Linked DNA regions of Drosophila melanogaster. The gene in region 3 interacts genetically with the main gene of each other region. Each region holds a gene or a part of one and is shown on either strand. Other genes may lie near its edges. The genes, in order: m, Cisd2, Ppt1 and Syt1.

Region 1 (8,511 bases), 3.1 Mb from region 3:
GTTTGATTTGCCTCAGCAAGGAGTTTTAAGCATTGCGCCATATTGTACGGCAAGAACCGACGATAAAATTCTAGTTGCCCACCATAACATTCAGTCCGAAAGTGAAGAATTATTATCAACACCTTATATAGGAGAAGTTAGTGAAGCGCCGAAGATTATTTGGGATCCGCTGAAACTATCAATATTAAATCATACTGAGGAATTTGAACGATTGAATAATGAAATTAAATTTATGAAAGAGAACCATCAAAAATTGAAAGATTTACATTTCCATCATATTTCCGGACATGCTGGATTAATTATTGCTTTAATACTAATGATAGTATTAATAATATATTTCATACGGAAATGTGCTGTGCAACAAAGAATGCAAGCAATAACCTTTGCAGGTCCGTTGCCAGTACTATAAATATCAATAGTAAATAAACAATAAAATAATATAACAAATAAAAATATACAGTCCACTATATCGTTGTTGTTGCATGAGGTCACCATAGGGGAAACAACGATTTCATTCGATTCATTCTAACAAATTAAACCATGTAAACAGCAGAGGCTATCTTTAACTACAGAATTAATCAGATATCCTTCTCATCGGGGTCACCTGTTTGCAGGAACTGGTGTAGTTCTTCGGGATCACTTGCAATAAGAATATCTTTAATTATTATCTTTAATTTCAATGATTTGGGACGGGGTCACCAAATGAGGCAAATGAATACTCGTTGACAGGCATCCATCTTGCTGAGGCCCATCGACCGGCCCACTAACCCATAATGCTGGCAAATTAGCATCGACATTAACTCGGTGGTGGTATCAGTCACCTTCTCCAGTCACAAATGCCGCGGTAATAGCAACAACACTTGCGATGATGGTTCCTAATGGCGATGACAATGAAAGAGTCTGTCCGCGAAGACAGCTTTATTTACTTCTGGGTCACGATGCTTGGTTTCTTTGTTGCTGGTGTCAAATGACTTGAGACATCCATTGGAGTTACAGGTGCTGGGCACAAGTCCGTCCGGACCAGGTGAGCTCATGGAGGTTATAAACATCGCACACGCCCCAAATGGAGCAGCATTTGCCGGCGAGTGACAAAAATAGTTAAATAGCCGACTTAGCCAAATTGGCACTTGGCGACCAAGGAGGCAGCGTACAAAAAGAGGAAATGCACTAAAGGAAATGTTAATAGCAAATTTAAGTTATAGATTAAATCAATACAATGAAATGGCTTTCATGGGTCCAAATTAGTGTACGAAAAGTTCTTTTTACCCGTTTAGAAGAATATAATTTCTTTTCAAATGTGAGTTACATTTTAGTGTAGAATGCCAATAGATTTCTGTGAGTGTAGACAGCAGCAATAGGAACAGCAGTCGGAGCAGAGATGGATTTAGAGGCAGTTTTAGAAGTGCGTTGAGGAATTACAATGATGACAGAACGGAGGGGAGCAGGAATACGGTGAAGGAGGGGACAGTATGAGTTGGTCCACCTCCCGACCAGGTATGTCTTATGGCCAAGGAGGTGGTGAGGCAGCGGGCGGACAAAGTGTGCCGATGGATGTCTTTGAAACGGGCGATGGCGATAGCTAACACGCCAAGTGGGAAGAAAGAACGAGCAACTGAGACGGCGACAGACGCCAAATTCAAAAGTGGACTGCACATGCGTGGAATGGGAATGAGAACGAGAAAGCGATTGCGAACGGAGCATCAGAGAATCAGAGAATCGGAGAATCGCACTTGAAGAGTTGGGACAGAAACAACTTTGTTGCCCTGACTCCCATGTTGAGCTAATGAAGCGGGCCAAGAGGTGGTTTGGTGGAACGATCAGGAGGACGCCCGCCAAGTCAAACGTTATTTAATCACAATCGCAATGGCCTCAGTGGAAGCAACAACAACAACATCAGCTCCAGTCTGGCCTGGGAGAAGTAGCTACGACAGGTGCTGCTGCAGCAGCGGTACTGAATCCAAAGGAATGCATCAAGGCACAAAAAAAAGCAGTCCAAAAGATTGAGGCTACCTTTTCGAACTGGATTATACTTAGCATTACCACTTCAAATTAATGTATGTAATACTTTTTACAATTGATTAATTAAAACAGTTTAGAATATGTTGTTTTAAACGAATTTGGTTTATTAATGAAGAATTCAAGTGGAAGTATTGTAAAATATCTTTTTATAAATTAATTTCAAGGAAAACTCGCAAAAGTACGAATATAAAATGGTAAGAAAGTCGGATAAACTAGTTCGCTTAAGGAAACTTAAATTTAAGGAGGTTTGTTAGCTCACATTCTTCTGAAGCCCAGGGATTCTTCCACTTTCTTCCGCTAAAGACATCATGCTCCCAGGTGTTCAAAAGAAGAGGGTACTAAATAAAAAACCCGATGTGGCAGCCGAGACTCTGGAAGAGGCAGTCGCAGTGGCGTGTGGAGTATGTAGGCCCGACGGCCAATCAATTCTCAGAAATGAAAACGCCGTCTTCGGTGGGTATTACCGTTGCTGTTGTTCTGCTTCTGCCGCTGGCTCTTCTGATTCTTCTGGCTCTTCACATTTCTCCGCCTTGTTGTTGGCACAATTGTGCGATGCAACACACAGCAACAGCCACATAAACAGAAAAGAATGCGAAGAAATGCAAAATGCAAACACCACGAACCACAACACAACCACTTTCCAAATGCATTCATGATGTTTACCGTTTAAATGCGCCCAGTCTACAAAGAGAGATAGACCCAGCACGTGGGAAAGAGACGGAGAGAGACAGGGAGAACGAGAGAGCGAGTGTGGAGCGAGGAGCAGCCTCTCAAACACTAACAACAAATATGGAGAAAAGCAGCTGCCAAGTAGAAGACCAAGAGGAAGAAGAAGAACGAGGAAAAGAAGAGCCAGCATGGAAACCGTTGCAGATTCTTGGCGTGCAAATGTATGTGTAAGCTTGCCAATTCCGATGTGTGCTAAAGAGAGATAGAGCTTAAGATCGCAAGAGGAAACGGATTTTGTTTTTTTTTTGTTTATTGCTCAAATCAGCTCTGATCAACTTCTGTTCCCATCTTGATTAGTTGTCAACGACGGGCGAAAACTGTTTAACCGTTATGAGCCGGCAGATCGGTTCCCAGACCCAAAACGCTAACTTATGCACCTTGCCCACCTGAAAAGCTGGCTACAATATTTCGCCCTGCATGCGTGCAGTATTTTTCGGATAAGGTATGAAGTTGTTATTAATCGTTATACTTTTCATGAATGGTATCAAGGTGTTTACATTTTAATTATTACTTTTGAAGAGTTTTTTACGTTTCATAATTAAATTATTTTAAATAAATATAAGCTTCAAATTCATCGAGATTTTCTTATAATCCTATTACGTGTTTCATAATGCAATCATTTAATGTATGGGGAACACTTAGGGGTATCCATTAAGTCGAAAGCTTCTCTACGAAACGAGCGCGCCGAAAGTTCAAGTTCAAGTGCGCCAAATTCCCGACGTCAACGTCGGCTGCGCTGCCAGCTTTCCACTGCGTTGCCATTTTCCTGCAGGAGGAGTTTTCAAAATCTCGCGATCTTCTGCTGATTGAGTGGGCGTTCGAATGTATTTTTATTGAAGTGCTAGATGTAAGTTTCTTTTTATTGGTCGTCTAATTGGCAGGCTATTCTATGTCATTAGGCCGCTTGATTAGCGCCACCAACAACAACAACAACAATCGCAACAATAACAACAACAAGTTCTGGCTGAGCTGTGCTCATTTGCGCAGCTGCCAACGCAGGTGTAAAAAGCTCGTTGCGCAGTCGCAGTCGGCGCAGGCAGAGCTACTCTCTCAGTGTGCTTGTGTGTGTGTGTGTGTGTGTGTGCGTGTCTAGCTTTGCCAGCTTCTTGCGCTGCCTCTCTCCCCCTTTCTCTTTTGCTCACTCTTCTGTGCTTGTGCTGCTGCTTCTTCTTCTTCTTGTGCTGCTGCTGCTGTTGCCTCTTTCTTCGGCTGCTGCTGCGGCTGCTGTTCCCGACAGTTACATTACGAGGCCAAAGAAAGTATCGCCTGGCTGGCTCGCGTATTTCGCGTTCGTCGCTCGCCGAGTCCACACGTGCTGCTGCTGCTAACGGTCGTGATCGGTGATCGTGATCCGTGATCCGATGCCCAGTGTGCTGCCCAGTCGCGCCTACAACAAATGTTGATAAAATAAATAAATTTCAAATAAAATAGAAAATCAAATAAGTAACACCACCCGAAGTGCTTACAAGTGTTAGTGCAATTTTTTTTTATTGTTCTTGTTGTTGCCACTGCCTGTTACCGTTACTTGCTTAAGCTTAGCAAGATACCGAGAAAGAACGAGAAGAGAGTTGAGAAGAAACGTTCCCGCGAAGTGAGTGTTTCTTCCATCCAAAAGCAAATAATTTTTTTGTTTTTGTCATATTGCCAATTTGAATTTAGAGTTGTGTGAAATATCCACGATTTGCAACCAGAAACTTATTCTATTCTTTGGAGAAGCCAGTCCACGGCTTTCCAACATCTTAAGTCTATTTCTTTTGCTTCCTGTGAAGACTTTATCCAGGATCTGTCATTCCTGCATCTTATTCGTATTCCTCTCTCCGCAGAGCCAATTGCATTGCTTGAGTTCTGTGAAACATCCAATCTTAGTCTTTCCAGCATCTTCTGCCTCGTCTTCTTGGACCGACAGTGGAGCCGATTAACCAGCTAGACAGCAAATGCAGCCGAGCATTTCATGCTTTCTAATTTTCCCAATTAGCACAAATGCGGCTGGCTTGTTGCCTCCGCTTCTTGTGCGCCCCTGCGTCCACGTCTTTTGCCACTGATTCTTCTGCTGCACCTCTTGCCAGCAGAGTGGTGTCTTCTCAGCCTGGCCAGAATCGAAATCAAAATCAAAGGTATTGCATGCACTGCGCCTTGGCGGCTGGCACTTTCCAAAGTTTTTCCCGTGTGGAAAATATAACAATCATACATAATAATAGTTAGTCATAACAATCACACGTACCAAGAAGACGAGACGCGAGACGCTAGAGTTCCATAAAAAAGAGCAACGTCATCTGGCGGATCGTATTCCCACACGCCCAGCAGGTGCACTATTTATTGACCGAACTCCAAAGCCCCCAATTCTCTAACCCCCCCCCCCCCCACACACCCTGTCCCCGGCCACCCCGCACAACTCGCATACACCTGTCAAATGGCAACTAATCATCAATCAGTCGCCATGAGCACGGACTTCACTCGGACTGAAAAGTCTCTGATGACGATGATGATTCTTCTTTATTTGCGTTACGTGTTAGGCGGTCCGGTTCGGTTTGGTCCGTTCTGTTCCGATTTCACTTCTGTCCTCCTCAGCTTTGTACATTTTTATGCTACACCATTTAGCTATTTTTTTTGTTGTTGTTTGTGCCTCACTCACATTTTAATGCATTTGCCAAACGCAGAGCCGGGATTTCACAAAAGAACGGAAATATAAGGAGTCCAGAGCAGCTGTAACACACTCAGCTGTGTCTTGACCTTCGGAAAGATTACAACTTATCGGTGAGTTACACACATTATCTATATTTTATTGAAACTACTAAACTTAGTGGGTAAGATATAGAATAGAATATAGTTGAGTAAGCTTGCTCTGTAAGGATTCTTAAAAGAAATTGTGGTCACGTTGTATCTTATAAGGCAGTCAACTATTGGTGGTCTTTATCTGGCCATAAAGCTTTTAATATCAGATTCCCCAGCAAACTTAAATCAAAGGATGTAAAGTATGTGCTTATTAATTAAACAAGCCAGACGACGATGTTCGATACAAGCCAGACAGATAATGCGAGGATAAGAGTGCCAAAAGCACGTTTATTAGCATACTGTTTTGACATCTTTTACTGGCCACATTGCCACCATTAAACCGTGTGGCAATGCGACAGGCAGCAAATGAAATGTTATGACAACTTTCGTCACTTGGCACTTGGTTCATTAGTCTGCGAAGAGCAGATAAATAGAACAGATCTTTGCACAGATACGGGGCCAAGTAGATGGAGAAGTGAGTGGTAGCGGTGCAAATGCATTTGATCCGTTTTGGAGCGCATTAAATGCACCGTTAACTACTTCGAATTCTAATTAAGCTGATGCGACAATCCAAAGCACGCCGCTGTGGCACAATAAACTCAATTCCAGGAGGCCAGATTGGCAGCAGCAAACAAACACGCGACTTGGCCATAAATGCAAGTTGCCAGGTTGCAACCAGCAAGTTGCAAGTCTCGTTGTCGCAATTCGCATTCGCATTCGGAATCGCTATTGGGAATCAGTATATCGGACAACGGCAGCTATCTCCACGCTGGACTATCTCTTTGTTTGGCCTCAAATGATTGGCTTTAACCATTATTGGTGGGACCCTAAGCGGCTTTACCTTACCGCCTAACACTTTTCGATTCAAGGTCTGATTCTGTTCCTTGGTTTCTTCATTCATTGTTCCCGTGCCCCTCGACTCCACTCATCGATGACGCATAATTTATGAGCTGCTGCCGCGATCGACCCAGTAAATTCTATTCCCAGTGCTCTTTCACATCCATATACCATATCCACATTTGCAGATACATCGTAGAAGCAGCAGATACATGAATACAGTAGATACAGATACAGAGATACGAAGACGTGTACAATATGCAGATGCGGATACAAGATAAAACCTCGTCGACAAGTCTTTTCTTTCACAGAATGTTAATTTGTATTCAGCCAACATCAAAGATACTTCGGACACTGGAAAATATAGTGTGTGTGTGTGTGTGGTGGGGAGGGGGGTCTATTGAGCTTGAGATGCCGGCGTCTCGTCGTCTAACTGTTCTTTGCCTTTCTACAAACATTCCATAATGAAATGGAAACTTTTCGTGGCACATTTCGGCCTTTAGTGCATCTTTGGCCCAACGAAACGGTTAGAAAAGTGAGAGTGCTGATCGACCCAATGGGGCTCATCAAGCTAAGATATCTCAAACACTTAGGAATGTTGTTGAGTTGAGCTTACAAAAAGAACAATGCGGTCAAAAGTAAATATTCAACTAATACAATCCGTAGAGTTTTCTTACAAGTTTTCCCTCAACTTGGTCAAAACAGGGCGTATAGTCGTACAATGGCATGGAAATTTTTAAAAATTCGTAAAAAAATAGAATTCCGAATAACAGTTCGAATGAAAACAGGTTTTGGCCAAAGTGCACTACTTACGATAGGAATTTGCATCGTAACTTGCCTAAAAATGGTCATAAAGATAAACCAATGACTGTTTTTTACAGCTTATTACCAATACTAAGTATCCCTAACACTTTTTGAAGGATTTTGAAAAATTAAATTTTGGGTCGATTTTCGCATTTTCGGTAAGGGGTAACATCATTAAAATTTGCAAAAAATGGGTAAAAAATAGAATTCCAATTTTTGAATACAGTTTGAATGAAAATTTAATTACGAGCTCAACGATATATGACATTCCATATTCAGACTATTATTTTCAAAGTTATGGCCAAAAAACCTATTGATGTATTATGGAAATTCGGAAAATCGGTTTTTGGAAAAATCCGCTATTTACGACGGGTCCTTTCTTCATAACTTGGCCAAAAATGCTTATAAAGATGAACCAATAGCTGTTTTTTACAGCCTATTACCAATACAAACTGACAAAATCAATTTTTGAAGGATTTTGAAAAATCAATTTTTGGGTCCAATTTTGCATTTTCGGTAAGGGGTAACATCATCAAAATTTGCAAAAAATGGCAAAAAATTAAGGAATTATTAAAGAGCCCAACGAGGTATGACAACCCACATTTGGACCATTATTTGCAATATTCTGGGCTAATAACGGATTATATTCATGCGGAAAATCGAACAAATTAGCTAAATTTGCTATTAAGTTGTGGATATGATGCAGAATCGGTCCTCAAAAGTCAAAGCCACTCTGAGTGAGCCTTAAAGCAAATGTCATAAGTATGTACATATACTACATATTTGCATACATATTTAAAGGCCTCGAGTCCTCTTCAAAAGCAGAGTGCCAAGTGACCCAAGGGCACAGCGCATCGAGCAACTCTTGAACACTCTCTGGCATAAACATGCCCAATAAAGATGTTAGCTTTTCGTCTGTGCATCCGATGATAAGCAGCTGGATGTCTTGCTGGCTGGCTGACTGTCTGGGCTTGGCTCTGCCGTCGAGACGGTCTGCCCCATTGCTACCAGCTCCAAGCTTCGAGCTCCAAGCTCCAATCTCCACAATCCCCCCATTCTCGATTCCGGCCAGCATTGTTTGCACTTGACTCTGATGGCTGCTGGGGATGTGGGATTCCGAGTGGGAGTGGGAGTCATGGATGCTGATGGAGGATGAGCGTTGCTGCTGCTCTCAGTTGGCAGTTGTCATGTTGACAACAGACTGCCAAACAAAAGTTTCGCTGCAACGGCCTCTTCGTTCTGTGTGAAAAGGCGGGGTGGGCGGTTTTGGTGTTTTGCAAATGGGTCTCCAAGCCGATGCCATGATTCCCAGGCTCTGGGCCTGGCCCAAATTTGAATGGCAACTGCAAC
Region 2 (6,935 bases), on a different chromosome or scaffold from region 3:
GCTGTTAACATCGATTAGGCTGCTATTCGCAGAGATTATGTTTTCCCTTTACAACACTGTATTTAAATTTAAATTATGAAATATCAGGCAATACTAAACAGTATGCTAAATATAAATATAAAACGAGATCACAGATATCTTCATAGGGGAACACTTTAAATTCAAAAAAATACGGGTCGTTTTAGAATAAACGCACCTTATTTGAAATTGGATCTTTCTTACTAACGATCAGTTAGTGGTGGAACGCCTTGCGCTTAACAGCACGCTGTTATTGAAACCCCACTTATTGGACTTTATTTACAAATTGAAATGTGATAAATAAATATACCAAAAACGATAATGATTTATGTTTTTAGGTATAATTTAACATCGAGGTCGAATAGAAATCATCGATGACCAAAATGGCCTAGGAAATATCGATATATCGCCGTAACCATGATGACTCCTGCAGCCCTGTTTCCGTCCCTTCTCTTCTTCGTTTCCGGTGAGTGCGTGTGCTCCGCGTTTTTTCGCTGAATTTGCCACTATATCGTATTTAATACTGTATTTGCAGGCAGACGATTTAAACGGCGAATCCACCATGGTGAAAGGAGTACGTACGCACAAGGGCAGTGAGGATTTTCCAATCCGTGGCTTCGAGCCATGTGAATTTGCGAATTTCCAGATGCCGGTTAGCTGCCACGATATCACAACTAATCCACCCATATTTGCAGACTCTGTACACTTACCCCGAGAACTTCCGGGCCTACAAGGCGCTCATCGCAGCCCAGTACTCCGGAGCCCAGGTGAAAGTGGCCGACAACTTCAAGTTCGGCGAGACCAACAAGTCGGCTGAGTTCCTCAAGAAGTTCCCCGGTGGCAAGGTGAGTCCGCTTTTTTTGTGGGTGTGGCTAGTGCCAGGTCATCAACACGATATGTGCCCGTAGGTGCCCGCCTTTGAGACCGCCGAAGGACAGTACTTGAGCGAGTCCAATGCCATCGCCTACCTGCTGGCCAACGAGCAGCTGCGCGGCGGAAAGTGCCCCTTCGTGCAGGCCCAGGTCCAGCAGTGGATCTCCTTCGCCGACAACGAGATTGTGCCTGCCTCCTGTGCCTGGGTCTTCCCCCTGCTGGGCATTCTGCCGCAGCAGAAGAACAGCACTGCCAAGCAAGAGGCCGAGGCTGTGCTGCAGCAGCTCAACCAGAAGCTGCAGGACGCCACCTTCCTGGCCGGCGAGAGGATCACATTGGCCGACATTGTGGTCTTCAGCAGTCTGCTCCACCTGTACGAGTACGTCCTGGAGCCCAGTGTGCGCAGTGCCTTCGGCAACGTGAACCGCTGGTTCGTCACCATCCTCAACCAGAAGCAGGTCCAGGCCGTCGTCAAGGACTACAAGCTGTGCGAGAAGGCCCTGGTCTTCGACCCCAAGAAGTACGCCGAGTTCCAGGCCAAGACCGGAGCCGCCAAGCCCCAGCAGCAGGCTCAGCAGCAGAAGCAGGAGAAGAAGCCCAAGGAAAAGAAGGAGGCGCCCAAGAAGGCTGCCGAGCCCGCCGAGGAGTTGGACGCCGCCGATGAGGCCCTGGCCGCCGAGCCCAAGTCCAAGGACCCCTTCGATGCGCTGCCCAAGGGCACCTTCAACTTCGATGACTTCAAGCGCGTGTACTCCAACGAGGACGAGGCCAAGTCCATTCCCTACTTCTTCGATAAGTTCGATGCCGAGAACTACTCGATCTGGTTTGGCGAGTACAAATACAACGAGGAGCTGTCCAAGGTGTTCATGTCGTGCAATCTCATCACCGGCATGTTCCAGCGTCTGGACAAGATGCGCAAGGCGGCCTTCGCCTCCGTTTGCCTGTTCGGCGAGGACGGCAACAGCACCATCTCCGGTATCTGGGTGTGGCGCGGACAGGATCTGGCCTTCACGCTCTCCCCCGACTGGCAGATCGACTACGAGGTCTACGACTGGAAGAAGCTCGACGCCAAGAGCGAGGAGACCAAGAAGCTGGTCACCCAGTACTTCTCCTGGTCCGGCACCGACAAGGACGGTCGCAAGTTCAACCAGGGCAAGATCTTCAAGTAATCATCTCTGCCTAGCCCAGCTCCGCTCAAAGCAGCAGCCGCCCTCATTTAGACCAACAACAACAACAGCAGCAGTAACAATAAAGTTTGAGATTTAAAATGCAGGAAGAGCACAATGCCCATTTCTTAAGTTCCAACTGATAAGTACACTAAAGATATCCAATATCTGTCGTGCTGCCTCCCACGTTTGGCGGAATCGTGTGTCTCGCCTCCTGCATTTTGTACTGGAGAATTTGTTTGTAACCGCCTAAGCATAACACAGCATGATATTGTCAACGGAACAGCCGCCTGCAGTCAGAAAATATTTATAAAAAATAAAAGGTTTTCTATTAATAACAGCACGGTTTTCTCTCACACGTGTGTGTATGTGTGTGTGTGGTTTATTTGGTTGTTGGTAAAGGTTAGGTCTGGCATTTATTAGTAATTAGAATTAAGCATATCGATTTGAATTTATGTTTGGGCAATTTTATTGGCTCCTTTTAACTTAATCCATCAATATCATCAATTATTGCTTACAATTACAAGGGTTCAAACAGCTTCGGCCACTACTATTGGTTTTAAAAGCAAACTGGAGCTCAGCGAGAGGAAATGCTAGAACGTTTGTGTATCGATGCACCGCCGCAATCTACTTCTTGATGACAATTGGTCCGACGTTGTCTCCAGTCTGCTTGTTGTGCTCGCCATGACTGCCATCGCAGTAGGGCCACTGCGAATAGAGGATTCAATTGAAAATTTTGTTCACAATATTTCAGAGGTTAGAATGCACTCACGTTCTTGGTCTTCCAGCAGCGACAGAAGGCCGCCTTCTCCGCAATATCCTCCACGTCGATCATGTCCACCACCTTGGGCTCGTTCTTGCGGATGTGGTTGTTGCAGCGTCCGCTGTTTTTGGCCGCGCAGCTGGCCCGTGCCGCCGGACAGTAGGCCAGGTAGGCGGTGTAGCCGAGTCCGGCCACCACCACGGTGGGTGGGATCAGGGCCAACCAATCCTTGACTGCAAACGAAACCAGGTTAATACGGAATGCAGTGCATTTTAAGCTTTATAACTAGATATTTTGGTCGATCAGCCGTAACCGGCACAAGGTCGTTCCCTACACACATATTGGGTTATAAACGCACCAAGATATGCGCATATATGTTTATAGGTATACCCATGTTGGTATGCCTGTATTATGCGTCTATCTAGTTGCCTATCTGCGAGACAAACTTGCTCCAATTATAAATTTCTTGGCGAGCTCAGCAGTTGTTGCATAATCGCTGCAACTTTTTTGCCTGGAAGTGCACACACTGCACTTCCAATTCCCGTTAGCAGCTCCGCAATATCACGCCACATTTGCACCTTAGTAGTCCATTTAGTTGGCCCCCCTAGATGCTGCGTCATTATCGTGGATTTGGGTTTATGTGGGGCGCCCTTTGAAGGCAAATCAAATTCCAATGGGCAAAACCACGCTCATTGCCCAAACTTACAGGAGAGCTTAAACCAGCCGCCGATGCTGTCGGGAACCGGCAGACTTGACAAGTAATTGGGCAGCGAGGACTTCACCAGATGTGATATGGGCTCCATTTCGAAACGCCTTTTTTATTTAACTGGCTATTAAATTCGGAAAACTTGTTTTTGTGTTGCTATCGGTTAGCGGTGCTAGCAAATCGATAAGCCAGTCCTATCGGTATCGCAGTGCTAGGGTCACACTGCATTTTCGACGATAGGCAGTATTACAGATTCGTGTGTAGTCATCGATAGCATTCTGTTTTGTTTACGAATTATTGATTGAAATCAATAAATTGCAGTTTAGAATGTCTGCCGGGGTACAAGAGCGCCTGCAACTGAGCCGCATGCCGCTGGACACGTGGTCGAAGCGGGAGCAGCTCATCCTGGCGTCGGCGGTCTCCTGCAGCGGCGACCAGAACTGGATCACGGTGAGCCGCACGCTGAAGACGATCTGCGGCAATGGCAGCAGTAACCGACCGGCGGACTGGTTCTCGCAGAAGAACTGTGCCATGCAGTACGGCAATCTGCTGGAGAGCGTGGAGGCCACCAAGCGCAAGAAGCGCAGCAGCGAAAGCAGTGCCGGCGTCTCCTCGCCGGCCACCGTGGAGACGCCCACAGAATTGCTGCTCCGTCGGCTCACGGAGGAGCGTCAGGCGGAGATCAAGGCGCAGATGCGTCAGGATCAGGAGACTTACCGACGCATCCAGCGGGAGATTGAGTCGCTGCAATCGGACGCGGTGACCGAGCAGGAGCTGCAGGACATGTGGCTGGAGATCGAGAAGGAGCAGGAGGCGCGCCGCATCGAGGAGATGAAGCTGGAGAATCGCATGCGGGAGCGCGAGCAGCGCAAGAAGGACCTGGCCAGCAACTGGCGAAACAGCAGTCTAGCCGTCAAGCGTTCCAACCAAGCTGCCGACACGACTTCCGTCGATATGGACGTGGAGGACATAAACACCAGTGGCAATGGCAAACAGCAGACGGGTCCTTCGCCTCTACTCACATCTCTCCTGAAATCGCCCACAGGCAATGCACCTGCAACGCCCACCCCAGGAGGAGCTGCACCAGCAGCCGGAGGAACTGGCAGCGTGGCCAGGGCTACGGCGCCAACCATCACCTCGCTGCTGACCAGCGGTCCAAGCTCAGCTGTTGCCAATCAGCCAGTCATCACCATGAAGAGCCCCACAGATGCGGCGTTTATGTCCCGACCTATTACCGGACCTCCGGCCAGTGAGGCTTCTACTACGCCCACACTCGAACGGAGTCCCTCGCAGGCGGCACCCACACTCTCCATGCTGCTAGAGAAGAACATGGCTGCGGCGAAGGCCAACGAAAGCGGAAGCTTGGTAAAGCCAGAGGGGTCAGGAAACCAGGAGCAGGGTGTAGACGAAGCCACTTCTTCTGCAGCTGGCACAGCAGACTCCGACGAGGCGGATCCCAACGAAGCGCAGCTGCTGGAAGTCTTCAAAAACATTGATCAAATAATAGATGACATCGACATTGATATGGCCAGTGTCATTGACGATGAGATTCTGAAAAATGTGGATGACGTCGTAGCCTCGCCATCAAACGATAAAGCCGAAGTTATTGACTTTGAGGACAAGCTGGACGCTTTGAAGCGGGAGCAAAGTAAAAGTTCCCCAGCCAGTGATAAACCAAAATCTGTGGAGCTAGTAATTGGATCCAGCGATGACTCCAACGACAATATACCCCTGGCTGCCGTGGCCTCCCAGGAGAGTAAGGATCGTGGTCAGTCCGGTGGTGAATCTACTAGGGGCACCGAGGACGCAGAGTCCGAGCCGTTGACCAGCGAGGTGGCGGTGGAGGAGATTGGTGAGACCATTACCATTATCAGCACTTCAAGTGAGGATACTGCAGGATCGCCACCCACGAAAATGGAGGAAGATGGGGCCACTGATTCCCTTCCGAAGAAGGAGGATGCCGCGGAAGACAAATCCGAACAGGAAAGTAGCTCCCAAGGACAAAATAAGGCAGGAGGAAGCACGGACGAGCCGGAACTAATAGATCACCAAGCCACTAGGGAAGCACAAAGCAAGTCAGGCAAGGACACAGCGGGAAAGCCAGTAACAATGCAAGAAAAGACGACCACTCAGTCCGCTCCGGTTCCTGTGGATCTGCACGACACAGACGAGGAGTCGTCTTCGTTGACGGACAGCAGCAAGCACGATGACCATCCAAGGAGTGCAAAAGCTAAGCCCCCGGCATTGAAGCTGGCTCTGGATGACTCCAAGTCGGAACTGGAGCTGAGTGGCACACCTCAGCCACCGTCGGCGCCAGCTCGAACGCCTTTGCTACGAAAACTGCCGCATCGGGATCGGTCCGAAAGTCCAATGGTGGACGATGACGCCACAACAGCCAGCGATCATTCCACTGCTAGGTCCACACGTCGCCGCTGCTCCTCCACGCCCGTTATCGACAGCATACCCAATTCTCCCGCCTCCAGCGAGCACACCGACGATCGGAGAGAAACGCGAGCCGCCTCCAAGAAGCTCTTCCTGTCCATTTATGCCATGTTGCTGGACAGCAAGCATGCGGCTCCCTTTAAGCGTCCCTTCCACGACGAGCACGCCCAGCGACATGCGGATCTATGCCTACGCCCCATGGATTTCCCCACCATCAAGCGGAACATCGACTCGGGATTCATTCGCAGCTTGAGCGAGCTGCACAGGGATGTCCTGCTCATGGCCCACAACGTTTTGGTGGCCTACAAACCACACACGGCTCAGCACAAAACGGCGCGTTTGTTCGTGCAGGACTGTCAGGCGATCAAAGAGTTCTCCCAATTGCCGGACGTGCAGGCAGGGATCACGGCCACGCCGGTGAGCAACACGGGAAGCTTGCGAGCGGATAAATCGAGCGGAAGCAAGGCCAGGAGCGGCTCCCGAAAGAGCCAAAGGCATCACTAGGCTCACTTAACTTTTCACACGTATTCATTTATGCATTTCATTTTGGAACTTACATGCTACATGCATTAACAATAAACATCAATCGAAGAATATTAGGTTCTGTAAGCGTCGAGATCTGGACGAGTGGCAAATGGAGCGTCGGTGTGGGCAGTAGTACCTCTTGAGGCACCTGGAAAGCCGCAGGTCGCATTGGCAGAGACGAGCGGCACAGGAGTCGGGGCCACCGAACTCGCCATGATCGACGGCGCACAGCGGCTTGCCGCGGTAGCACTTCCACACGTAGGGCACAAAGTATTCCAGATAGGAGATGCAGTTGCTCTGACCGTAGCACTTGTCGTGCACGCGACAACAGCGATCGATGCCATCGGCGGGCACTCCGTGGCCACCGAATCCGCAGTAGCAGCCGTAGCCCTTGTAGATCAGCGGATCACAGCCCGTGGAGCACTTGATCATGGAGTACAGC
Region 3 (7,607 bases):
CAAGAATTTCGCTGCCAATCAATATTTAATTGTGGCAACGTTTCCCAGTCGAAAGCTCGCCTCAATTGTGCCTTATTGAAATTGCAAATAAAGTGAAAATCAATAGATGAAAATTACTTTATAACGAGTCAATTGGAAATTGTGCAAACAAGATGACAACTTTGTTTGGTACTCTGGTCGTCAGAATATTTAAGCAGTTGACCAAAAGAGGCGGTGCTCCACCATTGAATGGAGACATTTATTCTGTCCTTCGACGCACTTTAATTACACAAATGGCTAATCAAAGGCGGATGGTCGGGTGGCGGGTGGTAAATGCATTGGCCGCGGAGTATCAATTTTCGTTGGTTAAGGGGTTGGTGAAGGGGGATGGCGAAGGGGGCGGATCAACAGCACGCGAGTCGCTAAACATTTAATTGATTCCGTGGCCGTGAATGGTAGACTCTCGTTTCGCTCTGGATACAGGAAATTACCGCTTTTACACACTTGATATTGCTGGATATATCCGGTTATAGAAATTACACCCAAAACGGAAGATGCTCATGAATTCGCGTTTGTTTATATCCTTAAAGTAGCTGAACATTATTAACTCGATTTCTCTGCCTCTTGCAGGTGCATTTCCAAGCGGGCTTAACCAATCCGTGGATCTGAAAAGGAGGAGCAGGCGTCGGTCGTTGGAGGCGCCGGCATAGAGAACTTTTCCGAGACGCGAGCGCCCAGCGGAGCAGTCGCCACCACGACGTCGACATCGCCACCGCCGCCGCGAGCCGCGCTGCTGTCACCAGCCGAGCATTTGGACGCCAGCGCCGACGATCGCGGGCGTGTGTACAAGCTCCGGAAGAAGAAATACCTGAACGCAGCGCATATCACATAGGGAGTCGTCGTCGGTGGAGGAGTGGAGTAGCCAGTGCGGTTTGGGTGCTAGGAATCGGTGCTAGGAGCTAGGATTAGGAGATCAAAACTGGAAAAAAGGTGCATATGTGCGGAATGCACTGAGATCTGAGATCATTGATCACTTGTTGTTATACATTGATCGTTGGCTCGTCTTTTCTTATGTTATTATGAATGAGCTTTGAATTCACTGGCTTTGATCATCTTAATTATGAAATATTTGGCGAATTCTAATGTCGATGTGCTTTTGTTTTTTAGCATAATTTAATTCGAGGAGGAATCTGGGAAAGCGCAATGCCCGTACAATCCCCAATTGAGATCAGCAACCGTGCCATCGAGCACATTGACGATGTGGATCCACTAGAGTACCATGGCCATTGGGAGCCGGTGGGCGTGGCCCGGGTACAGAACACAGGCACCTCCGCAATGGTCACATTCAGCAAGCGAAAACAACAGCCATACATAATCGGCGGTGCCCTGGAGCAGGACATGTACGTGTTCGAGCAGCTGCACTTCCATTGGTCGGACTGCGATGAATCCGGCTGCGAGCATACACTGGAGGGCATGAAGTACTCAATGGAGGCCCATGCCGTCCACTACAATTCGAAGTACAAGGACTTCACGGAGGCCAAGAACAAGCCCGATGGCCTGGCCGTCGTCGCATTCTTTATTCAGGCCTGCGGCGAGAAGGACTGTCCCGAGTTCAAGAAGATCACCGAGGGCATCCGCATCGTTCAAAAGATCCATACGAGTGCATCGCTGGATTCCGGTGCGTGTGCAATTTTCACCGAGTATGGTTTTAAAAATGTGACTTACTCTATTACTCTTGGCTCTGCTTTTTTAGATTGCCTATCATGGATTGGTCTGCAGGAGCTGAGCAAACATTATTACACGTACAAGGGTTCGCTGACAACGGCGCCGTACTTTGAGAGTGTCACCTGGATCATATACCGCACCCCCATCTATGTGTCTCGCGGCCAGGTGCGTGTTTTTCTCACCAAGATGATCCCCCAAATACTTTCATTTGGAACACTAAATTTGAGAAACCTCTTTTGATTTGCAGGTTCAGGTGTTTCGCAATTTGCAATCGTGTCCCAAAGATGAGTCCAAAAAGATAGTCAACAATTATCGCGAGATCCAGCGTCCGCACAAGGATCCGGAAATCTTCTTTGCGCGCAACACCAATCCAAAGTCCAAGTTATAATGTGCTTGCCATATGACTTGGATACAATTCTACAATTCCCGCTCCCGCTGACTTTCCTTTTTCCAACCTTTCGCGCAATTTTCTCCGCCCAATCGCCTATCTAAACTATAGCTATGTGTAAACATTTATCTGTCTATGGTTGTCTGTAAGCTGCTTTTGTTATTTGCCTCATGTACATAGCGTTATATACCTAACAAAACATACATATACATACATACATATATATATATATATATATATATATATATATACGGAGTATTTACGATACGGATACGTGTATGGAATTTTAGTCGGAGCACGCGGTTGCCTTGCATTGAATATTTCAGAGAAATATCGGGCACAACTACTTAAGACATCTACAAGAGACGTAATCCTAACGTTTAAGTTATTAAGATAAACAGTGAAAGCGAGAAAAAGAGGAAAATAAGAACAGTAAATCAACACATTTTGTATGTCCAAACTGAATTTATTAAACATCTAATTAAACATGTATAAAAGTATCAAAAAGTCATTATTAATATTAAAATGCTTATGTTAATAGGAAGAATGGATTAAACCTATGCAAACATTTTTGTCACAATACGTGCTTTTTGGGCACCATCTTATTTTTCGAGTAAGAGAGGCACTATGTTCTGGATAAACCAGGCCTTGGATATGGCCAAGTGATCACCTTCGACGCCGAGAAAGACAAGTTGTCCTTGTCGATGCATCTTGTCCAGTCCCAGCTTTAGGAAAAAATGTACATTTCATATTAGAACGTTAGGTGATAGATATGCATACGTACATCCTGATAGACTTTGCTCTCAGTAAAGGGCTGGATGACTTTGTTCTGCCCAGTGGTGTAGTATTGAAACCACTGGGACTCCTTCGGCTGGACAATTGTGTCGTTTAGGAACTGCACCATCACAAATCTGCAAAGCAGAGGTTAATAATATTTGATAAATGTATAAGTATAATACGCGCTTACTTCTTAAGCTTTTGCAGATTCTCAATGTAGAACTTGTTGATGAAGAGCTCGTTGTTAATGTCCGCGAGAAATGTGCTGCCCAGGCGGTATTTGTTCTCCATGATCGGGTCGTGCCAGTAGGTGGCCTGAACCAATGCCTTCTGCACTTCACTGGGTGTATGGTATGCAAGAGAGAAGAGAGAATTAACACGGAAACGACAAGGATGGCGACATGGTGGTGTTGGATTAATAAGCATGTAAATTCCAGGAATTATATTATATTAGGATTCCTTAACAACAGATAGACTCACGGTGCGTAGGCGGCGTTGTCCAGTAGCCTCGTGATATAATCACAGGGCTTTTCGGTTAAGGTGGGGCACATGGGCAGTCCGAAGATGCCCTGGTGCTGCCCACCGAGTGTGATAAGGTTCCTCATTGGCGGATTCGGGCAACGTTCGGCAACCGCACGCAGAAACTGGCCGCCTTGCGAGAATCCGATGGCGTGGTATCCCTTGGCCAGGTGCTCATCCTGCAGTAGTTGCTTGCAAACGTAATCCACCTGTTCGTTGGGATGTATGAAGAAGCCGCTCTGCCAGTCTATCAAAACATTGCCGCCGATCTGCAGGGATCGCACATAGCCGCCCTTTGTTTGCTCCACGATCAGGTTCATAATGGCACCCAGGCTGAAGGGTACGCAGCAGGTGTCGCCCATTCCGTGCCACAGAACGACCGGCAGGACCTCCGGATTGGTTCCTCCTTTCGTCGGGCTCCACCATATGTAGCTCAGCACGAGGGAAAAGATCAGGAACAGCAAAAATAAAATGCATGAAAAACGAGAACAGCAGATAGAAATCATTGTTGTTGGAGTGCAATTTTTGCAAATCAAATTAGTCGTCTGCTATCGATAATATATGGTTCGATAATATAATCGGGATATTTCATGTACGGGATGTACCTGGTCTTATTTATACCTAAAGGTAATTTCGTACTGCGTGCTTTAACGCAACATGAAAAATACTGCAACTATTTTTCCTTTCAAGGCAACAGGCTTGACTATATAACTGTTCAATTAGGTGCATTTTTCGAAGCCCTCGTCTACATTGCTGCATTTATTGGTACTTTATTGTGCAGCTGTGAACAGAAAATTTACATTTTCCAACACTGGCGTCTAAGCAAAAGTAGAATGTTGTGAATACCCCGAACGGTAAACAAATGCTAAACAGCTGATAGCAATAACACATTTTATTCAGCGAGTTTGTTTCTTTCGATTTAAACTCGAGTTTTAATGTGGTTTACTATTTAAACGTGACAAAGTACTATTGTTAAGTATGCCAAAACACGGCTTAAGTTGTTTATAAAACCGGATGCTGGCTCATAACCTAGGTTTCCATAAAAAGCGCCTTTTTTCAAACATGAAGGCTGTTTTACAGGATCGGGGTGTCATAGGCTTATCCCTCGAAGAATGCGATTTGGAAAGAACTTTGCTTGGAGGACAGAGTTTCCGGTAAGCGCTATCCATACTAATAATGAACATATGTACTCAAAACAACTTTACATGCCAGATGGCGATCCATATGCGATGGTAATAGAACGAAATATGGCGGAGTGGTGTTCAACACCTACTGGGTGCTCCAGCAAGAAGAATCCTTCATAACTTACGAGGCATACGGAACCAGCAGTCCTTTGGCCACGAAGGACTATTCTTCCTTGATATCTGACTACCTACGTGTTGATTTCGACCTAAAGGTCAACCAAAAAGATTGGTTAAGCAAAGATGATAACTTTGTGAAGTTCTTGAGTAAGCCTGTGCGCCTCCTTTCTCAGGAGCCGTTCGAAAACATTTTTAGCTTCCTTTGCAGTCAGAACAATAACATCAAGCGGTAGGTGGTTCAATCAAATGCGAATCCCATCATTAAATACAGTAAATTGGTTTCTTCTTAGCATATCATCTATGATTGAATGGTTTTGCGCTACATTTGGCACCAAGATTGGTCACTTCAATGGTGCCGATGCGTATACATTTCCCACGATAAATAGATTCCACGACATCCCATGCGAGGATCTTAATGCCCAGCTAAGGGCTGCCAAGTTCGGTTATCGGGCCAAGTTCATAGCACAAACGCTGCAAGAGATCCAGAAAAAGGGGGGACAAAACTGGTTCATAAGCCTAAAGAGCATGCCGTTCGAAAAAGCTCGCGAGGAGCTGACACTGCTACCCGGAATCGGATACAAAGTGGCCGATTGCATCTGCCTTATGTCAATGGGTCACTTGGAGTCAGTGCCCGTCGACATTCATATTTACAGAATTGCCCAAAATTACTACCTGCCACATCTAACCGGCCAAAAGAACGTAACCAAGAAGATTTACGAAGAGGTCTCGAAACATTTTCAAAAGCTACACGGAAAGTATGCCGGTTGGGCTCAAGCTGTAAGTACACTGAAAGTTGCAATTTAGTCTGTGTGTTTCTTATAATATCATTATTTCAGATTCTCTTTTCTGCCGATTTGAGTCAATTTCAAAATACTTCCACAGTTGCTTGTAAGAAAAAATCCAATAAAAAACCTAAAAAGTGATCTTATCTATTGGATTAAAAAAAAAAATATTCCTACTTGTAATATTTGAATATTAAAATATAATAGAAATGTATATACTAATGTATATATAAATATATATCTAAACAGAGAAAGAACTTGATACTGGGTTTCATATATCTTTTTTTTATTGCTAAACAGATGTAATTGATTAAATAAAGTGTACATTAAATGTCCGTTTTGTATATACATCGCCATATTTATGTGTACAGATTGCGCTCGAATTTGAAATTTAGGATATTCAAAATGTGTTGTGTCCGTTTTAGAAATTCATCACCTAAGGAAACCACTTTTAGATACGCATACAGATGTTTAGGATATGCTTATGAAGTGGTTATTCGAATCTTTTATTGGAGTGAGCACTGTACAAGTGAAAGTTTCAGTATCTGTATCCGCATTCGTATCCGTGTCCGCATCTTTATATCTGTCCGTATCTTGATAAAAGTCCTCGTCTACAGGCCTCCATTCGCCTCCGCTGATCCCGCCGCCCCCTGAGTTCCCTGTTGTTGTTGCTGCTGCTGCTGCTGCTGGAGCTTGCTGCTCTGGGAGAAATCGATACAGGCGCCGGAGGTGAGATCAATCTCCTCGGAATCGGATCCATCGGAACCCTCGTCGGAGTGTCCGGATAGGGCGGCCATTCCGCCCAGTTCCATGCCGTGCGACGGCGCCTTATAGAGCTTTAGTTCTGTATAGGTCTTCGATAGCTTATCCTGATCCGTGGCCTGCTGGTGTCCCTGGTGCTGTTGTTGCTGATGCTGCTGCTGGAATGCCGGGTGCATCATGGTGAAGCTCCCCGAATTGGGTCCATTGCCCACCTCCGCCAGTTCCGAATCCTTGCTCGCGGAAGAGAGGTTCTCCGGCGTCTGGCTGGGCGGTCGAGCCGTAGCTCCGTTGCCGGATCCGCCCTGCACCGCTCCACCGCCCATGACGGGGGGCGTGCCCAGGCTGAGGCAGCGCATCCGCCAGGCGTCCTGGAGGAGCTGCAGTCGTGCCTGCTTGCGCCACTTGGCCCGGCGATTCTGGAACCACACCTGCAATTAAAAAAGGTAATTTACTCTATATAGATTTGGCCTTTTGTTGTTGGATCTAAAAACGAAGATCTAGATTCATATTCTTTTAATATTTTTGAAATATTTGCAAGATTTTATGAGATAATAATCCAAAAGGCCAAGTAAAGCTAAAATTTTATTTTTATATTTTTGACCAAGTTAATCAAAATCACTTCAATTTCCTTATATTTGTTGTACATATTGCACATTGCGCTCTTACAACTCAGTGTGTTTTGTTTTAATTCATTAAATTATATTTTTTATACAAGAAATGGGAAATTGAATTAAATGAAATAAAGAAACGTGTACTAATTATTTCTAAGCCATTAAAGGTAAGAAGAAGTACCTTAACTATAAATAACACCCCAAAAGAGTTAATTCCTAATCACCCATTACGAATCACCCAAATTCTATATAGGATTTTAAATCGGATCTCGCAGGTTTGCGGATCAACTGGGTGGATACTTTGCCTGGTCTGTAGGGGGAATTCACCTGGACGCGTGCCTCGCTGAGGCTGATCCTCAGGGCCACCTCCTCGCGCAGGAAGACGTCGGGATAGTGGGTCTTCTGGAAGAGTGCCTCCAGCTCCTGCAGCTGCTGTGGCGTGAAGGTCGTCCGGTTCCGGCGCTGTCGCCTACGGCCAAACATATACTCCGTGAGCAGATCGCCGGGCAGCGGTGATATAAAAGGACCTGCCATTAGTGTTCAATGTTTCGGTTACTCGAATGCTTATTAATTGTACACTTTAGCTGCACGAGTGGACTTGTTTTGTGAATTTTCTAGTTTTTCGTATGCTTAATATGACACACAAAAATAAAACTGTCGTAGTGTCACGACTATAATGACATTAGGTTACTATGTTACTGAACACTTTTTTTTTAGTTTTGAATACTGTGTTGCTAGATTTGTATATTATTTCATCACGTTT
Region 4 (8,169 bases), on a different chromosome or scaffold from region 3:
CTTTAACAACTTGAGTCGTATTAATTATGGACGGCGGATGGCTGCTTGAGTTGGGTGCTTGGCTCCTCTTTTCCTTTTTGTCAGACATCCTTTGACCCTGAACTGCCATTGTTGCAGAGACGGACTCCTGGGACTTTGGGAGCTTGGGGGTTGCCCCAGTGGAAAATATACGCGGGTACTTATGTCTCGCTGATTGGCAATTTCTTCTCTCATTTGAAGACTGCAATTTGGGTAATCCATCAAAAGTTGAACGACACATGTCAGCCGAAAGAATACTAAAAGTCGAATTTCATTGGAATATTATTGGTTCACTTAAATCTGAACAGCAGAATATGAAATTTATTCACGAGGAATCCTATTGTCAAATTGATTTTATGTTAAATGATATTCCAAGTCCGCTATCCATTGTTTGTTCACCTTTTGTTTGCATCTCATTGTTTCCATAAAGCATCTCGTGAGCCAAAGATAACTTAATATGTCACCAAAACCACTTATCCTCTCAGCCAGAAAGAAAGAAAAGCAAACTGTGTGTGTAGAGCAATTTAAAGCCAAAATGACTGGAAAGCGATGCTTCTCCTATGGCTTTTCTCTTGTTTACTTTGCAAATGACGTCAAAGGACATCCATACCCTGAAACACGCTAACACACACCAACGGAAAATGGAAAAGAACTCGGAAAACTCGAAAAAACTCGGCAAGCCGCTTAAATGAAAAGCCTGAAGGCAGCTTTGTTTATTTGGCCCCATAAATATGCTTAAAATTCAAAAGTTGTGGATGCCACGCGGGTGGAAAATTTAGATGCAAACTCTGTGTTTGCTCAACATACAATACAATTTGCATGAATAATGTGCGAAATTAAGTTATGCGGGTTAATTGCCTTCTAGGCAAACGCAATTTGCGATTTAATTCAGTTTTGGGTCGAAAAAGGCATCTTTAAAATCGATAAAATTAAGCTAAACATATTTTTCAAATAAAAAGGCATGCATCATGGCTTAAGTAATGAAAACTAATTATAGAAATATTTCTTATATATAATTTTTACCTGTATAACTTAATCACATACTTATTTGATGTCCATACCTCACAGTTAAACTAGAGCGACTAAATAAAAGTACTGCTGCTGGACTAATATACATACATGTTCTTATCACGAATTTAATGAAATTGTTTACTTTTCACCAATTTTGCATATGAATAATAAACAGCTGTCTCTTTTCTCCGCTTATCGCTTTCTTAAATGAGTTTTTGCCAGCTCATCTCGTATTTCGCGAAGATTAAACTTAAGACAGACAATTTCTCTGTAAATTATTTAAGAGTGCACAATTGATAAACATCATAACTTTAACATGATCAATATAAATTTTAAATGTTGTCCTACTTTTAAATGCACTAACTTATTTTACTTTTTAGAATGAGCGACCACGACTCTTGGCCACTTGAGGACAAAAAGGAAAATTACCGAGAAATAAATAAATTTAAATGCATCTAGGACAAGTTGTGCGGCACAGAAGCTGCCTGGAAATGACTCCTTGAGATGGAGGAAGGGGAAAACCAGTCATGTGGCAGCAAAAAGTGGAAAGCTGGGAGATGTCACGATTTCCGTGTGATTCCCTGACAAATTGCGTTGCAGCCCAGTGGCAGATAAATAAAATGGATAAACAAGGGCTTTCTACCCTCCGAAAGACTCATCCATAATAAATGTGGACGCAACAATCAGAAACACCTAGCTACCGAAAGTTGCCCGGAAAATGGCAATCACCCAAAGGTGGACCACTTTGTTATTCATATTTTATTTATGCACCAAAAAATCTCATGCTGAATTATGTTTCCTGGCATAAGGGGCCGAAAAACCCGCAAGAAAAAGAACTTAACATTAATAGGAACAAGATGTGCAGCTACTGTGATTTCCAGGAAGGCACAAGAAGGTCACAAATATTGTATGCGCCAGTTGCCACACTTTTGTCATTCTGCCAGCATTTCGTGGCACTGTTTTTTTTTTTTTTTTTGCCCACGGGTCAACGGGGCGTATGGGTGTGCTGGTTATTTTGCGGTGCCCACTTGTCTGGGCACCAAGAAGTGGCAGCTAAATAACAAACTACGCAGTTCAAAACGGCTTCGTTTCGTGCTAAAGTGTAAATTATGTTTAGGGCCAAAACAGCTGCTTCCAGTATTTGTTATTGGTAGTAAGACGCTTGAGTGGTCAGTGAGTTCATTGTTGAGCACTCGATTGATGGCAAAACATTTCCAGTAACTGTCAAAAGTGCCATAAACATGAAGGAAGTACTGCTTTTGAAAGCCAGTCTCGGAAAAGTATTATAATTGAAATGAGCAAATAAAGCAAGGTACACTGAAATCTCCTAATAAGTTCCAAAAATCAGCATTCCACTTAACGTTGTAAAATTCAATTACCACTTTTGATGAACTTACTCAATATGAACAGAACTTTCGTGTCGAAGACCCTACTAAATTAATCAAAGCTCAGTTCGGAGCTCCAATTTAGGGACGATAAGAGGAATGTGTGCTTTCCTAGTAATAATTGCTACGATTTGACCTTTGGCGAAGGACCTATAAATAGGCAGCTGTCTGCTGCTTTTTCATAAATTGTGGGCGGTGGTGCAGAAAAAGCTGATAAGGGTGCGTGGGCTGCTGGGTTGGTGGCCCGGTGGGTGGTGCAATGCAGTGACAAAAAGTGGAGCACAGATAACGGCAATTGGCTGGGCATTTTAGATTAGCGCGGGGTTCGCATGGCGATAAGATAAATGGTAAAAGGATACTGCGAGTAAGCAACGAAGAACCCGAGTAAAAATAGAGTTTTCTACCGGTCTTACCATCAAGCTGTCAAAACAAATTAACATGGGATGGATTGGACAGGCAGTCATTACCCATTACCGGGTCCAAACAAACCCGCCAGCGAGCAAATGGAGCTCGCAATATGATTCGGGTTCGGATTCGGATCTATGGCAACATCTGTGGAACCCACGCACGTAATACGGGCGAATCGCGTAGAAAATGGCCAGGAGGCTCTCGAAGCTCACGAATGGGGAAACGGTTAAACTTTTTGGCGAGCCGGAGAGTGGAAAACTATGAGAGCGGAAGGATGGAAAAGCGGAAAAGCCACACATGCCCACAGCTCTCTCTCTCTCTCTCTCTTTCTGTTTCTGTTTCTGCTCTCTTTACTGCGCACATAACCCAGAGAAGGCAACAAAATAAAAACTCGGAAAATAGCAAAGGAAATAAAAAAAAAAAGAAATGAACATGAAGGAAAATCCAAGCTAGACGTTGGAGCCCGACATTGCCTCAGGCCAGAAGAATGCCTGGCGGAGAAAACCAATTTTCCACATCATTATGCTTTTCGCTTTCATTGAACAATCCGTCTCGATGTTTTCAAAATCAAATATAGACTCCGTGCAAACAATTCATTCATATTCTCGAATTTCACACAAAAGGATTTTCGGGCGACGCGAAGGGTCAAAATTACGCTGCCGTTCGGGCCAACTTGATTATTGGCAATTATGTGCGGCCTGCCGAGCTTGTTTGCAGCATTTTTATTGCTATGCTTCGGCAATGCCCTTAATAGCCTGCCCTCCGAGGAATTCCAGCCCAACTTCGGGCTGTCCAAAGCTAATTAGCGAAGAGCAGGACTAAATCAGGTTTAGTTCTTATTAGACGAAGATAAGAAAGGACACGATGAACAAGTGATGTGTGGCACTGGGCAGAGAATTTGGCAGTCTGGCAATTAATCAAGTTAATAAACCCAAAGTATTTCAGACCTTTTGGGTTTAATTGGTAAAGGAAATTCCTGCAAATTTTTGTGAATCTATTAATTAACTTGATTATTTAGATATTAATATAATTCAAGATGAATGTTAACCATGGGAAATGTTTGTATCTTAGAATAATAAGCAATCACATTTTCTCTGATAGCTTAGAGATTAGTTTTTCTTTAGCTGCAGCAACCCTTTAGTTATGTATGTTTCTCCATTCACTCTATGGACTGCCCCAAAAAGTGTGCTACGTTCTTGTAAATACCAACACTCACCCCCTAATCAGAAATGCTGCCAATGTTTCTCCTTTCCAATCAGCAATTGGGATCCAGACTAGCGTTAATAGCTCGGTCGTTTTTGGTACTTAATTCGCTTGTTTATCGTCCGCTTTATTAGTTAGGATGATGGGTTTTGAGCAGCGTTTAACGAAGCGTGACTCCTGCGAGGGGAGCGGGGAGGGTCGGCAGCAGTGGCGACTATTTGGCAGGAAGGATATGGTGATGCGGGTCCTGGCGCTTGTCGATGTATGTGTGCTGCTGCTGCTGCCTGATTTATGTTTTTGGTTTTTTGTGACTGGCTTTGGCTAGTGAGGCCGCGGCTCGCTAGTCTCACATGAATTTCGTATACTTTTTTGGATAATTTGTAATAAAATTAATTGAAATTAATTCAATTTATTTAGATTTATTTGCATATATTTTGCAGTACAAAGGATGTCAGCGGAAAGTGAGGAAGAGAGAGAGAGAGAGAGATATAGAGAGAGAGTGAGTGAGAGAGTTGAAGAGATACGCAGCGTATACGTAATAGCAAAATACAATGGTGTGCGTAAATATTGATAGAGCGAACTCGGCTTTGTGTGTGTGTCTGTGTGTTGTGTCTCCTTGCCCAAAAGAGCATGTGTGTGCGTGTTGGTGAGTGGGCAGAGAGAGACAAAAATAGAGAGAGAGAGAGAGAGTGGGAGGTTGGCAAATTCGCTTTTTCCTCGAAGAAAGCAAATTCAGGATAGAGATTTTCTTAGGGCCATTTCTTTCGTCCTTTTCAGGGCCTCTTTTGGCTTGAATTGAGCTTTCCTTTTTTCTCTCGCACTCAGACACTTCAAGTTGATAGTTAAAAATCTCATTTCAATTTTAATTTTTTATTATTTAATTATAGGGCGTTGAAGGACTGCGGATTCGGATTTTCCGAATTCACATTGATATGCTTTTTAATCCTGGCTTTCGACTGGCCTACAGCACCACAATAGTCGGGTGGGAAAAATCAATATCCCCGCAAGTGGCTCACATGCGTTTTCACTTTCAATGATAGCCCATTTTTCAGCGCTTCTTTCATCTTCGCATTGCACATTGGAATTTTCAATTAAAATTTTCTTGCTTAGCTGCCATTTTTTCTCGACATTTGCTGCGAAAAATTCTGATACACAAAAAATGTTCTCCTTTTTTGTCAGCGCGTGCTAAACACTCGCACACACACAGTCGCATACACGCACCCACACCACACACACATACACACGCGCACTATACATTTCGGGGCTTTCGATGGCCTTTTCATTTATATAACAAATTGGAAAACACTTTCAACACTTTTGCTTTGCTTTCAACCAATTCTGTTTAATTTTCATAATTTTTTCATCACATTTTTGAATGATTTTCCATGGGCATTGCCACTTTTTATGAGCCTCTAGAATTTTTCTTTCCCATTCACCTTCAGCCTAGCGCTTTGTACTTCAGCAGTCAACTTCCACGGTCGATGTTCATTCGCGTTTTGGCCCACACGCTCCAGGAGCAGCGCTGAAAAGCTTGGGCCACTCGCCAAAACGCGAGAGCGAACCGGTTGGGGCATCGATTTTGGCCGCTCGGCCAGCGGGTGAGCGGGGCGGTGTCCACCGTGGGGGGAGCTTTTGGGCAGCGGAAATCTCGGAGGGGAAGACTTTAGGCCAGCTGGACATGGCTGAGCCCCTACGTCTGTATGATATGCAAAGGAGGATAATCATAAAATAGGCACTACCATAAAATGCATCCTTCATAAGTAAGAGTTGAATAACTACTACAGTATCTCATGTCTAGTACCTTTACATACATATTTTCAAAAATCCCTACTATATCTCTCTCTAGATTTTCCCAAAGGAGGTAAACATCTGACTGGGAATCACATGTAAAGTTGAAAGCTCCTTCAGAACCTGTTCGCAGTATGTTTTTTGGTGCATGCGTACTGGGGCGGAAGTGTCTCAATGGCACACAATGTTGCCATTTGCTGTAGAGCAAAGCTTTTCTGTGCCAAGTTTCACTTTCCGTACTATTTTTCCTTCGCCTATGAAAGCTGAGATTTGCCATGTAAATGGCGGCACTGTATCGTATATTTCACAAAAAATCAAAACAAATTACTTATCTAACGATAAGCCAAAATAGTATGACTGTGAAATTAAATCTTTTTCAATAGATCCGATCCATCCAGGCAATTTATTTGGTTTTGGAAATGCATTATTAAAAGGTCGTGCCTACTTTTGGGCTGACAAGTCCATCTTAATGACATGTCAGCACAATAATTATGAAATATAATTTAATTAATACTTTGTCACAAAAATAGTTTATAATCGTGATTTCCCCCTAGAGAGTAGCTGAGTTTTTACATGCAATGAGGATATATTTTTAAATGTTTTGAATAAATATACTATAGGAATACAAATACATAGTAAGTTACTATTAGTAACCTAAAATCAAAGCAGATACGATCTTAAATCATACTTCTTTGAACAGAAATACTTATCGACTTGCTTTCCTATGAGTTATGTATTTATATCGGGTGAATCATTAACAATCCTTTACGACGCGCAAATAAATCACGATATTCGATAGTGCTGGTCACCTTCACGCCTCAATCAGGCGGTTGGCCATACTCGGGGTTCGTGATTTCCCATATCGTTTATCTTGGGAACCCTCGCACGGCAATCGGTAATCGCTAGCGAAGAAGTTAATTAAACGGCCAGTCCTCGGGCTCAAATCGATCGAGATCGATCGCGGATGATTGATGATTGAAGCGAAGAGCGGAATGTAAACACGCACTCGCTTACGCACTTATCACTATCAGTTATCAGTGGGAAGTGGACAGGGAGCAGCAGCTCTTGGTCGGTGGTCACTTGAACTTGCTCCCAAATGGCGATAAGCGAGGCGGCACGCGCTCGATCCGATTTGGCCGTGGGGCAATTGCATTATTGGGGTTGCTGTGTCATCGAGACTAATCGATTTGAATTGGGGCAATTGGCATGATTGCTTTGGTTTGGTTTGGGGCAACTTTGATGAGGTAATGCGAAGTTTCCCACCCCCAAAAAATAGTGTTCTTTCCGCCTGCATCACCCGATTAGACTCGCAATCAGCGAATGTTTGGTTTTTTCCTATGTTATGTTTCTGATTCCGTGTGGTATCAATCGTTTTGGTGGTCGAGGTTATGGCAAGGCTACACGTGCCACCTATAATGGCCATTGGTTTTATTTGCTTTGCATATGTGGTTTATTCGGCACTTGCACCTTATCAAGTGCTTATACTCACAATCCAGATGTGCAATAGGCACAACTGAAGTTCTCACTTCTTCTAATCTACATGAAATAGCTGATAATTTCACCAGGTTTAGACTTTGTCTTCGCTGTATGAATACATGAATCACGTAGATTGCGTTCGAATTCTTGGCAAATATATTTGGATTCCAACGTGTGCGACAAAGGTCGATTGGTTAATGCCTAATGAGCTTATCTGCCACAGAAACCATTGACAAATTAATTATCATTAATGCTGTGTAATTGGTTTTTTTATCAGTTTAAATCACAAAATTTGTCAAGGCTTCTTAGTTACTTATGAATATGTACCAATAGCGTCATCATATCATTCTAATTGTAAACTAAACAAAGCGCACCCGAATAATCTTTCCGTTTTCCAAGTAAGCACTAATTCTTATACAATCTAGATATACCATTCATTAGCACCTGTCCCGCAAACTTTGGGCATGTGGTACGGATTGGCTCGAGTGTCACTCGGGGGCCATAAAAACTGACCACATCAATTCGAAAATAAGTGGAAATGAAACGCTATATTCGTGGATGCTAATTTTAGATCGGGTCGCTTCGCCACACTAGTCGGCGATAAAGAGCGTTGTGCTATTTTCAACAAATGCAAAAAGAGGTGACAACAAAGGCAACTTGACGTCGTCGTCGTCATCGTCATCATCGTCATCTGGCGGAGGAGCAACGTCACGGGTTGGCGCGTTCATCATCTCGAGCGGTTGGGAACTCGAAATTCCGGCAGACACGAGGTGCATGCGTGGACGCCTTGGCACTCGGACGCCTTGGCTAATTGCTTTGGGTGCAGCCCAGATGATTGAGTGAATTGAGTGAGACGATTCGATAAAATAAGATTCGAATT

The links.
Region 1: of Ppt1 (region 3) and m, changing one suppresses a phenotype caused by changing the other (phenotypic suppression), as found in Drosophila melanogaster (one study listed by BioGRID).
Region 2: of Ppt1 (region 3) and Cisd2, changing one suppresses a phenotype caused by changing the other (phenotypic suppression), as found in Drosophila melanogaster (one study listed by BioGRID).
Region 4: of Ppt1 (region 3) and Syt1, changing one suppresses a phenotype caused by changing the other (phenotypic suppression), as found in Drosophila melanogaster (one study listed by BioGRID).

The regions. Positions count from the first base shown.
Region 1 is NC_004354.4:11,750,244-11,758,754, forward strand, and holds the start of m (miniature), read left to right. Parts: upstream 1-4,029; 5' UTR 4,030-4,339; intron 4,340-5,405; 5' UTR 5,406-5,502; intron 5,503-8,511.
Region 2 is NT_033777.3:29,219,717-29,226,651, forward strand, and holds Cisd2 (CDGSH iron sulfur domain 2), read right to left. Parts: upstream 3,713-6,935; 5' UTR 3,624-3,712; coding exon 3,527-3,623; intron 3,054-3,526; coding exon 2,830-3,053; intron 2,766-2,829; coding exon 2,685-2,765; 3' UTR 2,501-2,684; downstream 1-2,500. Other genes in the region: eEF1gamma (eukaryotic translation elongation factor 1 gamma), read left to right, coding at 581-592, 714-863, 927-2,060; Brd8 (bromodomain containing 8), read left to right, coding at 3,854-6,472; CG14507 (uncharacterized protein), read right to left, coding at 6,551-6,935.
Region 3 is NC_004354.4:8,686,086-8,693,692, forward strand, and holds Ppt1 (Palmitoyl-protein thioesterase 1), read right to left. Parts: upstream 4,143-7,607; 5' UTR 3,994-4,142; intron 3,962-3,993; exon of another isoform or gene 3,934-3,961; 5' UTR 3,895-3,933; coding exon 3,350-3,894; intron 3,210-3,349; coding exon 3,060-3,209; intron 3,004-3,059; coding exon 2,877-3,003; intron 2,818-2,876; coding exon 2,695-2,817; 3' UTR 2,542-2,694; downstream 1-2,541. Other genes in the region: CAH3 (carbonic anhydrase 3), read left to right, coding at 1,183-1,657, 1,733-1,869, 1,952-2,092; Ogg1 (8-oxoguanine DNA glycosylase), read left to right, coding at 4,403-4,542, 4,601-4,918, 4,980-5,466, 5,526-5,612; CG11294 (uncharacterized protein), read right to left, coding at 6,083-6,661, 7,172-7,378. UniProt on the Drosophila melanogaster protein: Cleaves thioester-linked long fatty acyl groups such as palmitate from modified cysteine residues in proteins or peptides.
Region 4 is NT_033779.5:2,794,448-2,802,616, forward strand, and holds the start of Syt1 (synaptotagmin 1), read right to left. Parts: upstream 5,533-8,169; 5' UTR 5,462-5,532; intron 4,390-5,461; 5' UTR 4,039-4,389; intron 3,875-4,038; exon of another isoform or gene 3,385-3,874; intron 1,098-3,384; exon of another isoform or gene 1,042-1,097; intron 1-1,041. UniProt on the Drosophila melanogaster protein: May have a regulatory role in the membrane interactions during trafficking of synaptic vesicles at the active zone of the synapse. It binds acidic phospholipids with a specificity that requires the presence of both an acidic head group and a diacyl backbone.